Macaca fascicularis: one gene and its partners. The protein of the gene in region 3 interacts with the protein of the main gene of each other region in a biochemical or structural test. Links are inferred from orthologs where the notes say so. Each region holds a gene or a part of one and is shown on either strand. Other genes may lie near its edges. The genes, in order: SRF, CSRP3 and MYOG.

Region 1 (4,601 bases), on a different chromosome or scaffold from region 3:
TAAATAATTCGGTAACAGCAAAGTCCATGCTATTTTCACTGCTTTGGAGAAAAGATCCAGACCCAGAGCTTGAACCTCACTTTGCAGCACCCCAGTTCTATTCTTTAAGTAATTTTTTTTTTTTTTTCTGCCAGGCACAGTGGTTCATGCCTATAATCCCGGCACTTTGGGAAGCCGAGGGTGAAGGATAGCTTGATGCCAGGAGTTCGAGACCAGTCTGGGCAACATGGCAAAACCCCATCTCTACAAAAAATACAAAAATTAGGCCCGAGTGGTGGCGCGCACCTGTAGTCCCAGCTACGTGAGAGGCAGAGGTGGGAGAATCGCTTGAACCCGGGAGGCGGAGGTTGCAATGAGCTCAGATCACACCACTGCACTCCAGGTTGGGCGACTGAGCGATACCCTGTCTGAAACTTTTTTTTTCTTTCTCCAACGGGCTTTCCAGAGAAGGGTGTGTAGGTGCGTGTGTGTGCGTGAGCGTGCTTGCTTGCATAAACTTTCTGTCGGGCCACAATTTCCCGTCTTTGCACTGGCTGTAGGGTGGGCTTTATCCTCGGGACGCCCCCCTCCCCCAGCCCAGCCTGCAGCTGGAAGTCTTCAATGATCTCCGTCTCTCCTCCCTGCCCGCCTCGGGACTGGGAGACCGATCTCTGTCTCTCGCCCTCCCCTCCACCCGCCTTTTCCAGATGTATGTCTGCCAAAGACCCCCCAGTGCAGAGGATGATGAATGAGGACCCGCGAGCCAGCCTGGTGGGAAAGTGTCGTCGCCTACAAAAGCAAGGGAAAGGGAGGGGAAGTTGGGGGGAGGGGAAAAGTTAGAGCTGAGCGGCTGGGGTGCTACGAGTCTGGACACCGGGGATCCAAGCTCCCTCCGCTCAGCCAATAACTGTGCCTCCCTTAGGAAGGCGTGAGGAAATGCTCCAATCAATCCCTGCACTCCTCCCTTGGAATTTGGGCTGTATTTTTTTAATTGACTGCAAACCCCACAATCCACCTAGGGGTTTCCCCAGTGTTTGTCTCCAGCGGTCCCGGTGCTGGAGCCCATTTCCTAGTGCTGCTCCCTCTCTTCCGCAAGACTGCGCTCCAGTCCCAGGCTACTTCTCCGCGGGTGCTTCCCAAACCGTTCTATCATTCTCGGGTTCAGGGAGGCGGAGTCGCGCCTGCTCTCCGGTTCCTTTAAGAGGCGTCGGCTCCACCCCTCTCGGAGTCGCGGTCTGACGCGAGAGGACAGGAACGAGTTTGGTATGTCTATGCAAATAAGCGCTCCCCTGCGGGCCAATGGGGAGCGGAGGTGCCGGAACCATGGACCAATGGGGCGGGGGCGCTGGGGCTCACCATATAAGGAGCGGCCTCGCCATAAAAGGAAACATTGTATCTCTTTATATGGGGGGAAGGGTCGGGGGATCCCTCCGCCGCCAGCGCGTGGTCCCGGCCCCCTCCACCCGCCGTCTCGGCCGCGGCCAGCAGCCCCTGCCCCCCGGGGGACGCTGAAGGCCGCCGGGCGCGCCGCCCTAGCAGACGGACAGGGGGCGCTGCGCGCGGCCTGGGGCAACCCGGGCCACAGGGGCAGGAAAGTGAGGGCCCAGGTCGGCCCGGGCGTGCAGGGGCCCCGGGTTCGCAGCGGCTGCCGCGGCAGCGATAGCGGCACTAGCAGCAGCGGGAGTGCCGGGTTGAGCCGGGAAGCCGATGGCGGCGGCTGCGGCTCCGATTCCTCGCTGACTGCCCGTCCGCCCTCCTGCATCGAGCGCCATGTTACCGAGCCAAGCTGGGGCCGCGGCGGCTCTGGGCCGGGGCTCGGCCCTGGGGGGCAGCCTGAACCGGACCCCGACGGGGCGGCCGGGCAGCGGCGGCGGGACTCGTGGGGCTAACGGGGGCCGGGTCCCCGGGAATGGCGCGGGGCTCGGGCCCGGCCGCCTGGAGCGGGAGGCTGCGGCAGCGGCGGCAACCACCCCGGCGCCCACCGCGGGGGCCCTCTACAGCGGCAGCGAGGGCGACTCGGAGTCGGGCGAGGAGGAGGAGCTGGGCGCCGAGCGGCGCGGCATGAAGCGGAGCCTGAGCGAGATGGAGATCGGTATGGTGGTCGGTGGGCCCGAGGCGTCGGCGGCGGCCACCGGGGGCTACGGGCCGGTGAGCGGCGCGGTGAGCGGGGCCAAGCCGGGTAAGAAGACCCGGGGCCGCGTGAAGATCAAGATGGAGTTCATCGACAACAAGCTGCGGCGCTACACGACCTTCAGCAAGAGGAAGACGGGCATCATGAAGAAGGTACCAAGCCGGCGGGCTGGCTGGCCCCGGGGCCCGGGAAGGGTGGGGATGCGCAAGGGGAGCCCGGGAGGACGGCAGAGCCGAGGCGGAGGTGAGAGGCGGCGAGTCCGCAGGAGGTGTGTGGGAGGGGATGGCTCCTACCCGGGGAGGGCCGAAGGGGAGGGGCCGCCGGGGAAATGTGGGGAGAGGGGAGATCCCGCGAACGCCGGGAACCTTGGGGAAAGGCGCAGAGGTGGGAGTGACCGGCGCGAGAGAGGAAGGAGGGCCCTTGTTGAGTGGAGGTTTGAGGAGCGGTCATGGGAGGCTGCGAGGCTGCCGGGGAGGTGAATAATGAGAAGCCGGGATCAGTAGGTCCAGTGCACTCCGGTGTTTGGAGGAGGGCGCTGGAAAAGCAGGGAGCAAACGAGAAGGTATGGAGGTGAGGAGGCTGGAGCTGCATGACAACAATGAGCGAGCATGTGTGGGAGGAAATGGGCACCACGAGAGTAGTGCTGGTTGGAAGGACAGGCAGGGTTAGGGACCAGGTAAGGGAGCGGGGCAGGAGAACTGGTGCTGCCCTGAGCAGCAGGAACCTAGTCCCGCGCCGGCCGTGAGTGTTCCATGGCATCCGCTGGGAACCACATGCTGCTCCTGGCAGGACCCGCTGCAGAATCTCCTGCCGTTAGGACAAGTGGGGTTTCCAGCCCTAGGGAGAATCTATGCATGGATGGGGTTTGGGGGAAATCGGGGAGGCTTGCAGAGGTACCTAGGAATTCCTCTTCTGCCAGCCAGTGAAAAGTGGTGAGGAAAAGAGTCATTTTGGGGTGTAGATGATAAGGGAAGGGATGAAAGCAGAAGAATTGGGAGACAAGTAGCTGGATCCTTGGGAACATTGGCTGGTGTTTATTTCTGTCCCATGTAGAAACCAGAGCTGCTTCCAAGGTGGTTCGTAGAACTTTGTTGGGAGAGTATGGCATCTGTGGGGCCATCCTTGAAGGTCCCCTTCCTGGGCTCATGGCAGGATGTTTAGTGCTAATCTAGGTCTCGTCTCCCCTCACTCTAGACACTGTTGTATCAATGTCCCTTGTCACTTGATCATCAGTGGAGAAGGTTGTGGGGGGAGGTAGTTAATGAAGGAAAATTCTCTTCTCCCCTTCCATAACCTTCTTCCCAAGACAAAGTAAAAAAGGCAGTAAAGTATTACAGGACAACAGGAGAAACTAGGCTATGGCAACAAGTTGGAGCCTGTGCAGTTTCTGGAAAGAAACATGGGACAGTTGGAGCTTAAGTGGTCCCTTATCACTAATGTGCAAATTCCAGTGTGATAGGTAGGGATCCATCCTGGTCCCTGTGACAGTGAGAATGGTTGAGGCTCCGGGACTTTCCAGGCACTAAGCTGCGTTGGGGAGCAGCTATAGCTGAGTCCTTCCGTATCCCCTGAGGTTATATGTTCCATCACTGGGAGGCTATTACTGTTTGCTTGGGGTATCTTCAGGTCAATGGGGCTGCTCCTCAAAGGAGGAGCATTGGTAGTTTTGCTGCTTCCAGAGATCCTGATAGGACACCCTGCCCCCAGAATCACTAGAGACGAAGGTCATTATGGGAATGGGGGAATGACATCACTATATAATTCTTTTTCCAACTTCTCAAAGAAGGTAGAGATAAAAAGTTTGCTGACCTGCCCATCTCCGTCCTCACCCCTCAGGCCTATGAGCTGTCCACGCTGACAGGGACACAGGTGCTGTTGCTGGTGGCCAGTGAGACAGGCCATGTGTATACCTTTGCCACACGAAAACTGCAGCCCATGATCACCAGTGAGACCGGCAAGGCACTGATTCAGACCTGCCTCAACTCTCCAGACTCTCCACCCCGCTCAGACCCCACAACAGACCAGAGAATGAGTGCCACTGGCTTTGAAGAGACAGATCTCACCTACCAGGTGTCGGAGTCTGACAGCAGTGGGGAGACCAAGGTGTGTTTGGGTTGCCTATGTGAGAGGAGGGAAGGGAGGGGGGTCCCTCTCTCTTTCTGGCCCAGGGCAGGTGGATAGGTACCCACTGATGTGGAGTGGAGCCTGATTAACGACCCTTGTCCTAGGGGACAGGTGTCCATCCTCACTTTCCTGATAGAAGACCGGCCCCCTAGATAAGCGGGCGGCCTCCGTGCCCATATAAGGCCGGCTCGGGCTCCACGCCGGCCTCCCGCCCGCAGCCCGCCTGCCTGGCAGGGCCTTTGCATTCCTCCCGCCAGCTGTCTCCCCGCTAGGGGCGGGGGTGTAGCTTAGCCCGGCCCTCCGGGCTTGGTCGCCAGGGAGTAGAAAGGGAGCACTCCGGTTCCGGGGTCCTGAGAACCCAGCACTC
Region 2 (4,799 bases), on a different chromosome or scaffold from region 3:
TCGGAGTGTGCCATGACCCGGGACAGGTGTGCCCAGTTCAGGGTGAGAGTCGGCCGGCCCCCTTGCATTGTTGGATTGGGTTGGAGGCAGCATGCCCAGCCAGGAGCCCTGTGGCCCAGGGAAGCTCATGCCCTTCAGTTCTCGGTGTAGGACATTCAAGGTCAGTGGCTGCTTCCTCCTGAGCTTCTGAACCCAGATATATGACGTCCTCCAGCCAGAGGCCCTTTTACAGAGCCCAGGAAGCACAGGTTGCTCATTGCCAGCATGGAAATAAATCCGACTGTTGGCTCTCACCCCCTTTTAAACTCAGACATGGTAGACACACATTAAATGAAGGCTGTAGAACATGGGCATCTTACACCTTTTCTGAAATTACATCTGAAGTGTGGCCAACTTTTACTCCCCAAAACTCACTCTTTGTCCTATTTTGACCTCCACAATTTATTTTTAAAGATCACATCATATCCCAGTTTACCTCCTGGCTCTGCCGCTTTCTCGGCCGTGTGATGCTGGGCAATTCCTACGCTTTCTTGAACTTTAGTTTCTTCCTCTGAAAAATGAGTTTTGCAGAACTTTTTGTGACCCCTAAGTAAGGCAGTACTTGTTCCACACCTGCCCAGGGCCAGAAACAACCATCAGCTCATGATCAACCCTTTCCCACCGTAAAGCTCAGAAAAGGCTCCATCCTCCATGCCCTTCAAGATCATTACTGTCTCCCTTCCTGCCATTCTTCACTGGGATGAATAACTGCAGTTTTTCACATTTGCAGGCATCACATTTCTCTTTGACTATGAAGCCCAGCCCTCTATACAGTATTTATTCACAGATATCTGAACAGCACACTTGTAACTGGAAATCTGCCTGCCTCGGGACTTGTATTTGCTGTGTATTATATTCCTAGCTCTGGGTCTTTCCTCTTGTAAAACAAATTAATTATCTTCTAACTCCTGGTCAGCTTCTTACCCACTCTGACCTCTGGACTTTTATCAGCACGCTTGTACTTAGCAGGAAACCCTCCCAAAACCCATTGGGTTTGGCTGTATGCCTTTTCTCAACGGCCTCACATAATTGTACGGTTATATTAAACTTCACAAAAGTACTCTCCTGTACTTTATCTCATTCAATTCTTACACATTCCTTTGATAGAGATAGCCTATCCTTAATTTTATTGTTCAGAAAATGGAAACTCAGAGAAGTTAAGTGATATTCAGAGCTATAATTTGAACTGGCTCTATAACCAATTATCTTTATTTTCTTCTTGAAGTTCCCAGGATTTCTGAGTTTGTATTCTATCAAGATTCTGTCTCCACTTCCTCCAAGGGGATTTTGGCTATTTGACGGCTGAATGCTGCTGCGGCTCCCTCTTCCTTCCCTCCTCTCTTTCTCCCTTCCGCCCTCCCTCCTTTTCTCTTTCCTTCCCTCCTTCTCTCCTTCCCTCCCTCTCTTCCTTGCCCACTGCCCTGTGTCTCTTCTGTCTGATGGATGACATATGTGTCTGGGCTGCAGAGCACCTGTCTGCCTGAACCCCAGGGACTCAGCTACCTCCTGCCCAATAGCCTGGGCTCATTGCCACCGACCACAAACGACCAAGTTGTTCAGAAAGGGACCAAAGCCAAGTTAGAAGACGCCCTCACATTTTCTGGGTTGGAAAGCAGTTCTACATGCATTGTGATGAATTGGATGTACCCAGCATTGAGATTCAATCCCAGATATAAACTGAGGACACAGGCCATCCCCAATTCCCCACTCTTCTTGCTGTTTATGTTCACCCTTCCCTGCATAGAGCTGCCTCTACCTCCCTCCAGCCCTGACATAGGAGATGATCCATACATGCTTATTAAATTACATTGAATTGTATAGCAGAGACAAGGTTCCTCAGACCAGTAACTCAAGTCCTCCTTCTTGGAGGAGTCAGCACCTTGGTTAAGGAACAGGGCAGAAGTTAGAGGCAGCAGCTTGGATCTTTCAGCAGCATTTCCACTCAGACCATTGCTTAATACCACTTCTTATTCTCAGTCACACCTATGTCTGTCATTCACTGGGATATTTTAAAAAGTCCTTGACTAAAACCTAGAGGAAACAATGGGAATCCTGACCACTGGCTGAACTATCCCTCCCATTTAATAGAGCTTTTAATATATTTCAACATAGCAATGTCTTTTTGGGGTCCAGTTTTGATTAATTTCAAATGATTAAAAGCAAATTTGTTGCTGAACATCTTTGGGATACAAAAATCGATTTAAAATCAACAAGCCCAAAATCTCAGTCATTCACCATGACCTTTTGAATAACACAATTCCAGCTAATTTGAGCATGGGAAAGCTGTCTGATATATTGCATCTAGTACAATCGCTTATCGCTTTGTATCTGTGCAGTACTTTACAGTTAGGAAAAACGTCGCCAATTTATATTGATCCTTGCAGAAGGGGAGACCAAGCCCCAGAGGGCAGGAACCTTCTCAAAGTCTGTCATCCACGAATTATGTGGTGGTTGTAGGACTAGAAGGTCAGCAGACTTTGCATTATTTCCTCCCGCTTTCCAGTTGTTTCAACAACGACGACAGGAAACGTAATTCCACCACATAAGTAATTTTATAATGAGAATAACCCCTTACTCATTTATCTGCCTGTGAGGTCCCTTAAGCCCCCCAAATATTAACCATCCTTGCAGGAATTTTTTACTACCTGCTAGGTCCACACCAGAGTCAAGCACAACTTGAATCTCCTTGCACAGAACCAGACAGGGTGCTGGCGCTTGAGGTGTGAGATGTGCCCTTACTCTATAGGACCCTTTGCAGTCCAAACCAGCCACAGAACCAACCCACCTCCAGCCCGAATGTCTATCTCGCTCCACTCACCTGCCTGTGTAGTTTCCGTTCAGCTCAACTGAGTCTGAGGGGCTCTTGTCCTCTTTAAATATATGAAGGCTGTCACCAGCCTTGGCCTGCTGGAGGAAGGGCAGGAGGGAGGCCGAGGGAGAGGGTGAATGAGACGTGAGTAACACAACTGCTATCAGAGGCTGAAAATAGCCTGTGACCAAAGCCCTGAGTTTTGTCTCCCCCAACCCCCCAGCCAGCTGTGAGCCTCTTGGAGAACCATATCACTTGGGTTCTATTTTCACTGCCAATTGCTTATGGCACCAAGGGATCAATTTATGAAGTGTGTCATTTCTGATCAAGTGGTTGGAACAGGAACAAGAGCTAGGGGTTTAACACTGAAAATCATTTCTCCAGGCCCCCACCCCACTGACCTTCCTGGAAATCAATGCAAGGTACCTCCAAATGAGTCATGTGCCATATCTGGGAGCCTCTGGAACTCAGAGCCCCAGGTCACCACACTCGTGAAGAGAACTCAGAGCTAAAAATAAGGGTGATGGGTGTCTGAAACGATACTTAGATAATCTCTTCAAAGAAGCTTGGGGAAAAAAAGGTTGGCACATCACTTGGAACCTGTTGCTCCATCTATCCTAGGAAACGAAATTTTCTCTAAAAAGTTTTGAGTTACTTTGTTATTGTCTTTTTCTGTTTAAGAATGTGACACAGCAGTGCATATTTATCATCATCACATTATATTTATAACGTCTCGACATGTCTCTGTAGACCCATATTTTCTTTGGAGGTCTAATTTCTCTTTGCCTGGAATTCACACAGTTTAGATTTGATCAAGCACCAGGGACTGATATAAATTATAGCATTGAAAAGCTGACAAGAGGTTCAGAGATGTGAAGACCAATTCTTCGTGTTATAGATGAGGAAACTGAGGCACCGAGCACCTTTCACTCGTGTTGACCCGGATGTTGAGGTAAGGTGCATGTAGAACCCAACCTGGAGGTTTATGATCCAGCCCTCACACCCAATATTAGCCCTTCAGTTACCTGCTCACAAAGCAATTGGTTGAATGACAGAATATTTCACTGTCAAGAAGGTTGTGGCAATTTCACAAAGACAGCCGTGGTATAGGCTCCTATGAGATATCCTCGGTCTGTGTTTTCACTGAATGGCATCTTCATCATAGAGACGAGGCAATCATGAGGATCTTAGAAAGTTAAAGCTACAAAGGACTTTAGAAATCGTCTAGGATAGTGGCTTTTATTTGTTTGTTTGTTTCTTTGTTTAGAGAAAGGATCTCGTTCTGCCACCTAAGCTAGAGTGCAGTGGCATGATCACAGCTCACTGCAGCCTCCACATCCTGGGCTCAAGCAATCCTCCCATCTCAGCCTCCCAAGTAGTTGGGACTACAGTCACACACTAGCACTCCTGGGTAATTTTTTTGTAGGGATGTGGTTTCACCATTTTGCCCAGGCTGGTCTCGAACTTTGGGTTCAAGTGATCTGCCTACGTCTCAACGTGCTGAGATTACAGGCTTGAGCCACTGTACCTGGCCAACCAATAGTAGCTTTAAAATTTTTTTTGTGTGCGTGTTTGCATTAGAATACTTTTTTCTGTAGATAATCTTAAGAGGAACATCAGTATATAAAGCAGATAAAAGAGGAGCTTCCACTCGTAAGTGGGAGTTGAATAATGAGAACACATGGACACAGAGAGGGGAACATCACACTCCAGGGCCTGTTGTGGGGTGGGGGATGGGTGAGGGGAGGGAACTTACAGGATGGATCAATCGGTGCAGAAACCACCATGGCACACGTATACTTATGTAACAAACCTGCACACTCTGCATACGTATCCCATTTTATTGTTTTAGAAGAAAAAAAGGAAAAAATAAAGTTATAATTAAGCATTAAAAAATAAAAGGAGCTTCCTTGCTTGAAATGAATGGTGCACTTTCACCATCATGCCTTGC
Region 3 (4,854 bases):
AGGACATCAGAATTCTCCTGGCTCCCTGCTGTGAACAATGAGAGGAAGGAACACTGGTTCTTCACATGCTGCACAGATCTCATCTCCCTTGTAATCTCCCCTGAGTCCCCAGCAGAGTTCCCCTTCCTCTCATTGTCCTTGCCACCGGCTTGAACTTGTCATTTTGATCTGTCATAGGATGAGGAGCAGGACAGATCAGACTTGGTCTATGGGGCCTAAGGGAAAAAACTAGGAACAAAGGGTAAAAGATAGAGGGAGAAGATTGCAGCTCAAAGCTGCACGTCAATGGAACGGGCTGTCTCCTGACGTGAGCAGAAGCTGAACAGTGGTTGCCTGGGAGGAGATTCGGTCATCAGGGGCTAGGTAGAAAGAGGTGACCACCATTGTCTACCAGATGGTAAGGTCAAGGGCAGGGACCCTGTCTGGGGTGTCCCTATAATCCCCAGCCCTAAGACTGAGCCTTGTTCACTGCTGGTGTCTGAGGTCTGCCCACTGCATTGGAAAGAATTTGTCCTCTCAGACCCTGAGGCACCTACTGAGAGGTGACCATGGCCTGAGAGGCCCGAAGATTATACAGTCCCTGCTCCACCTGACATTTGAGACCTGCATGATACATGTAAAATTGATGGCTCAGATGAAGAGGCAGAACAACCAAGCCCGATGGCCAAGGAGAGAAGAGATTTAAACTGAGTTTGAAGGGCTCTGTTTTTTCTCCTTTTTCACCCCCATCCACAGTAATGAGTCAGGAAAATTCTGGTGTTGGAAAAAGAGTTGAGGAGGTAACATAGAAGGACAGATCAATGGTCCGGAGTGAGACAGGGAGGAGACAGGGAGCTTAGTACATCTTGACCTTGCGGCTCTGGGGAAGGTGGCACGTGTAAGCTGTAAATTCTAATCTCTGCTCTGACCACGGCCGCTGTATTAAAGAGAAAATTTCTCTTGACCCCTGCCAAGAAAACCAAAACCCAAATAATTTCTCTTGCCTCAACTTACCCCCCATCACATGAGACCTAAGAGAACATACAGGTCAGAGCTGCTTGGGAACCCCAAAAGTGGAATCTATTAGCTGCTCTGAGTCTTGATCCCTTTTATCCCCGGATACTGAGTGCCCATGAATGCCCAGAATCTGAAGCAGTCCCATTCTTTCGGGAGGGAGGTCTTTAAGAGTCTCATCGACTGATGTAGTGTGGTTAAGGTGCTGTCAGGAAGCAGGGAGATGGATAAGTTGGCTCTTAAGGCCTCTTCCAGCCTAAGCCTACCCTTCCTTGTTCCCTCCTCCCCCTACACCCACCAGCTTCTTGGGGACTAGCAAGGAGAGAGCAGGCAGGCCGCCCAGCTAGGAGTAATTGAAAGGAGCAGATGAGAGGGGAATGTGTCCTCCCCCAATGCCCCTGCCCCACAGGGGCTGCTGAGAAATGAAAACTAATCAAATTACACCCGACGGCCTCCCGACCCGTGCACAGGAGCCCGCCTGGGCCAGGGACAGGCTGGCTGGGTGGGGTGGGGGCCATGGGGGAGAGAGAAGGGGAATCACATCTAATCCACTGTAAACGTCTTGATGTGCAGCAACAGCTTAGAGGGGGCTCAGGTTTCTGTGGCGTTGGCTATATTTATCTCTGGTTCCATGCCAGCGGGGAGGGTTTAAATGGCACCCAGCAGTTGGCGTGAGGGGCTGCAGGAGCTTGGGGTCTGGTGGCAGGAACAAGCCTTTTCTGACCCCATGGAGCTGTATGAGACATCCCCCTACTTCTACCAGGAACCCCGCTTCTATGACGGGGAAAACTACCTGCCTGTCCACCTCCAGGGCTTCGAGCCACCAGGCTATGAGCGGACGGAGCTCACCCTGAGCCCCGAGACCCCAGGGCCCCTCGAAGACAAGGGGCTGGGCACCCCCGAGCACTGTCCGGGCCAGTGCCTTCCGTGGGCGTGTAAGGTGTGTAAGAGGAAGTCGGTGTCCGTGGACCGGCGGCGGGCGGCCACACTGAGGGAGAAGCGCAGGCTCAAGAAGGTGAATGAGGCCTTCGAGGCCCTGAAGAGGAGCACCCTGCTCAACCCCAACCAGCGGCTGCCCAAGGTGGAGATCCTGCGCAGCGCCATCCAATACATCGAGCGCCTCCAGACCCTGCTCAGCTCCCTCAACCAGGAGGAGCGTGACCTCCGCTACCGGGGCGGGGGTGGGCCCCAGCCAGGGGTAAGTGGCCATCCCGTCCCCCTGCCCCAGGGGGAGGGGGCCAGAGGGAGGCACCTGGACAGCCTCAAGACCCCAAGAGGGGCTCAGAGGGTTGGAGCAGGTGCCAGACAGGGTCGAGGGGCTTCAGGAGCCCTTCCCTGGTCAGAGCTGGGCTATCCAGCTGACCCCCTGTGTCCTGTGTTCTTTCCAGAGGAGATAGAGGCAGTGAGGAGGAAGTGCAGAAAGGGTGGGGGTGGGGAACACAGGACTGAAGAAAGGATCAGGAGCAAGGCCACAGTCAGCCCGGGTAAGGGTGAGGATTAATCGCAGAGCCTGAGTCAGAGCCTAAAAAGCCAGGCCAAGTTCACCAGAGAAGGCTGCTTTGCCCCCTGCCCCACCCCCATCCTGGGTGTGGCTGAGCAGAGAGAAAACCCACTCAGTCTCATTGGAACTCCAGCAGGCCTGCACAGAGTGACCTTCACTGGGCCAGAAAATCTGTCTCCATCACCCTTATCACCAGAGTCAGGAGAACCAGGGACCTTTAACCTGGGGTCCTGTGAGGGCAGAACCACCACTCAGGATGGAAGCCAAGAAGGCCTGGAAGCAGGGCCTCTAGGACATGAGAGGAGCTGGTTACTAAGATTCTGGGGTTGGGGATGGCCTGGGCTGGAAGGCCACAGCCTGTGGCCCACCCTCCAACCCCACCACAGGTGCTTCTGCCCACTGGGACTAGGCAGAGAGACACATCAAAGAACGGCTGTGCCCCGACCTTGGGCCTTCGCCCTGTCTTGCAGGTGCCCAGCGAATGCAGCTCTCACAGCGCCTCCTGCAGTCCAGAGTGGGGCAGCGCACTGGAGTTCGGCGCCAACCCCGGGGGTAAGTGAGGCTTGACCCTGGTAACCTTGACTCCAATCCCTCAGTCCCTCCCTGGGCGTTCTTCCCTCTTACCTTATTCCTTGCTCCGGTCCTCTTCCCTTGGGTCTCTCCAGGGACCTGCTGACTCCAGGACCCAAAGGGTGGGCTGGGAGGTTCTGTGTAGCCCTGCAGTCTTGACCAGCAAAGGAGTGATAGTGGCTCCTGCAGCTCCCCAGCTGATGCCTGGTGGTTGACCTTCTCCACAGAGAGGACAATGTCCCTGCCCCAGGGGTCTCTGCGAAGTGCTGAGTCAGTGCTGCAAAACCGGGCCGAGCAAAGGGCAGGTCCAGTCTCTGGGGAGCTCCATCCTGCTCCAACTTGAGTGACTGCTTCCAAACCCTACCTCACTAGGGGAGTTCAGAGAAGAGGCGCGCGCGCGCACACACACACACACACACACACACACACACACACACACACAGCATGGGGAAAGGCAGGGACTAGGGAGTAGAACTCCGGAGCTTTATCCCCCATCTGTCCTGGAAAACCTGTGTCACCCCAAGGGTCCCATCCTCTATTCTGGGCCTCAAGAACCCCCACTCCTCACCCAGGTACCACCTTCCCACCTCCCCTTACAGATCATCTGCTCACGGCTGACCCTACAGATGCCCACAACCTGCACTCCCTCACCTCCATCGTGGACAGCATCACAGTGGAAGATGTGTCTGTGGCCTTCCCAGATGAAACCATGCCCAACTGAGATTGTCTGCCAAGCCAGGCATCCTTGCAAGCCCCCCAAGCTGACCACAGATGCCACTGCTTCTGTAGCAGGGGCCTCCTAAGCCAGGCTGCCCTGATGCTAGGAAGCCAGCTCTGGGGTGCCATAGGCCAGACTATCCCCTTCCTCATCCATGTAAGGTTAACCCACCCCCCAGCAAGGTACTGGATGCCCTCATTCAGCTGCCTCCTTAGAGGACAGGGCATCCCCTTTCCAGGAAGGTAAAGCAGGGGACCAGAGCGCCCCCTCATGTATGCCCCAGTTCAGGGGGCAAACTCAGGAGTTTCCTTTTTATCATAACATGGCCTCTAATTCCACCCCCTAAGTGAAACAGTTTGAGAGACACAGACAGTGTCCTGACCTGGACAAGCTGTGCACGTCTCCTGTTCTGGTCTCTTCCCGATGCCAGTGGCTGGGCTGGGCCTGCCCTGAATTGAGAGAAAAGAAAGGGAGAGAAACAATCCTCTGTTCCCAAGTCCCTGGGGGGCCAAACTTTTGCAGTGAATATTGGGAACCTTCCAGTGGTTTTATGTTTTGTTTTGTTTTGTGTGTTGTTTGTAAAGCTGCCATCTGACCAAGGTCTCCTGTGCTGAAGTTGCCGGGGACAGGCAGGGAAAGGGGGTTGGGGGCTCTTGGGGGTGATTTCTTTTGTTAACTAAGCATCGTGTGGTTTTGCCATTGTTTTGTATTTTTTTTTTTTTTTTTGCTAACTTATTTGGATTTCCTTTTTTAAAAAATGAATAAAGACTGGTTGCCAGAAGAGTGTCGGTGATGATGCAGAGGGAGGGAAATGACTGACAGCCCTGCCCTCTCCCACTGAGCAGTCCAGACACACCCTAGTGGGCGGGGCTCCACAGCGCTGAGGGCCTCATCTTGCTGGTGGTCACTAGGCACTGGGGACCCCGGCTCTTTTCACCATGAGGAAGGAAGTCGAGCATGTCTAGACCTCAGTCTAGGTGGAGACCAGATTCCACAGACATCCTTGTGGGACACGGAGGACAACTGGCTAGGACTATACTTCACAGCCATTGCTCACAGGCTGCTGTGCTCT

Evidence for each region.
Region 1: the proteins of MYOG (region 3) and SRF form a complex in vitro, tested with the Homo sapiens proteins (2 studies listed by BioGRID and IntAct). The link is inferred for Macaca fascicularis from reciprocal best matches to the Homo sapiens genes MYOG and SRF.
Region 2: the proteins of MYOG (region 3) and CSRP3 form a complex in vitro, tested with the Homo sapiens proteins (2 studies listed by BioGRID and IntAct, with this or other methods). The link is inferred for Macaca fascicularis from reciprocal best matches to the Homo sapiens genes MYOG and CSRP3.

The regions. Positions count from the first base shown.
Region 1 is NC_088378.1:128,359,594-128,364,194, reverse strand, and holds the start of SRF (serum response factor), read left to right. Parts: upstream 1-1,363; 5' UTR 1,364-1,749; coding exon 1,750-2,262; intron 2,263-2,490; exon of another isoform or gene 2,491-2,558; coding exon of another isoform or gene 2,559-2,672; intron 2,673-3,946; coding exon 3,947-4,213; intron 4,214-4,601. UniProt on the Homo sapiens protein: SRF is a transcription factor that binds to the serum response element (SRE), a short sequence of dyad symmetry located 300 bp to the 5' of the site of transcription initiation of some genes (such as FOS).
Region 2 is NC_088388.1:46,508,790-46,513,588, reverse strand, and holds the start of CSRP3 (cysteine and glycine-rich protein 3), read right to left. Parts: upstream 2,888-4,799; 5' UTR 2,858-2,887; intron 621-2,857; exon of another isoform or gene 476-620; intron 1-475. UniProt on the Homo sapiens protein: Positive regulator of myogenesis. Acts as a cofactor for myogenic bHLH transcription factors such as MYOD1, and probably MYOG and MYF6.
Region 3 is NC_088375.1:60,896,035-60,900,888, reverse strand, and holds MYOG (myogenin), read left to right. Parts: upstream 1-1,668; 5' UTR 1,669-1,720; coding exon 1,721-2,191; intron 2,192-2,964; coding exon 2,965-3,046; intron 3,047-3,118; exon of another isoform or gene 3,119-3,289; intron 3,290-3,636; coding exon 3,637-3,785; 3' UTR 3,786-4,560; downstream 4,561-4,854. UniProt on the Homo sapiens protein: Acts as a transcriptional activator that promotes transcription of muscle-specific target genes and plays a role in muscle differentiation, cell cycle exit and muscle atrophy.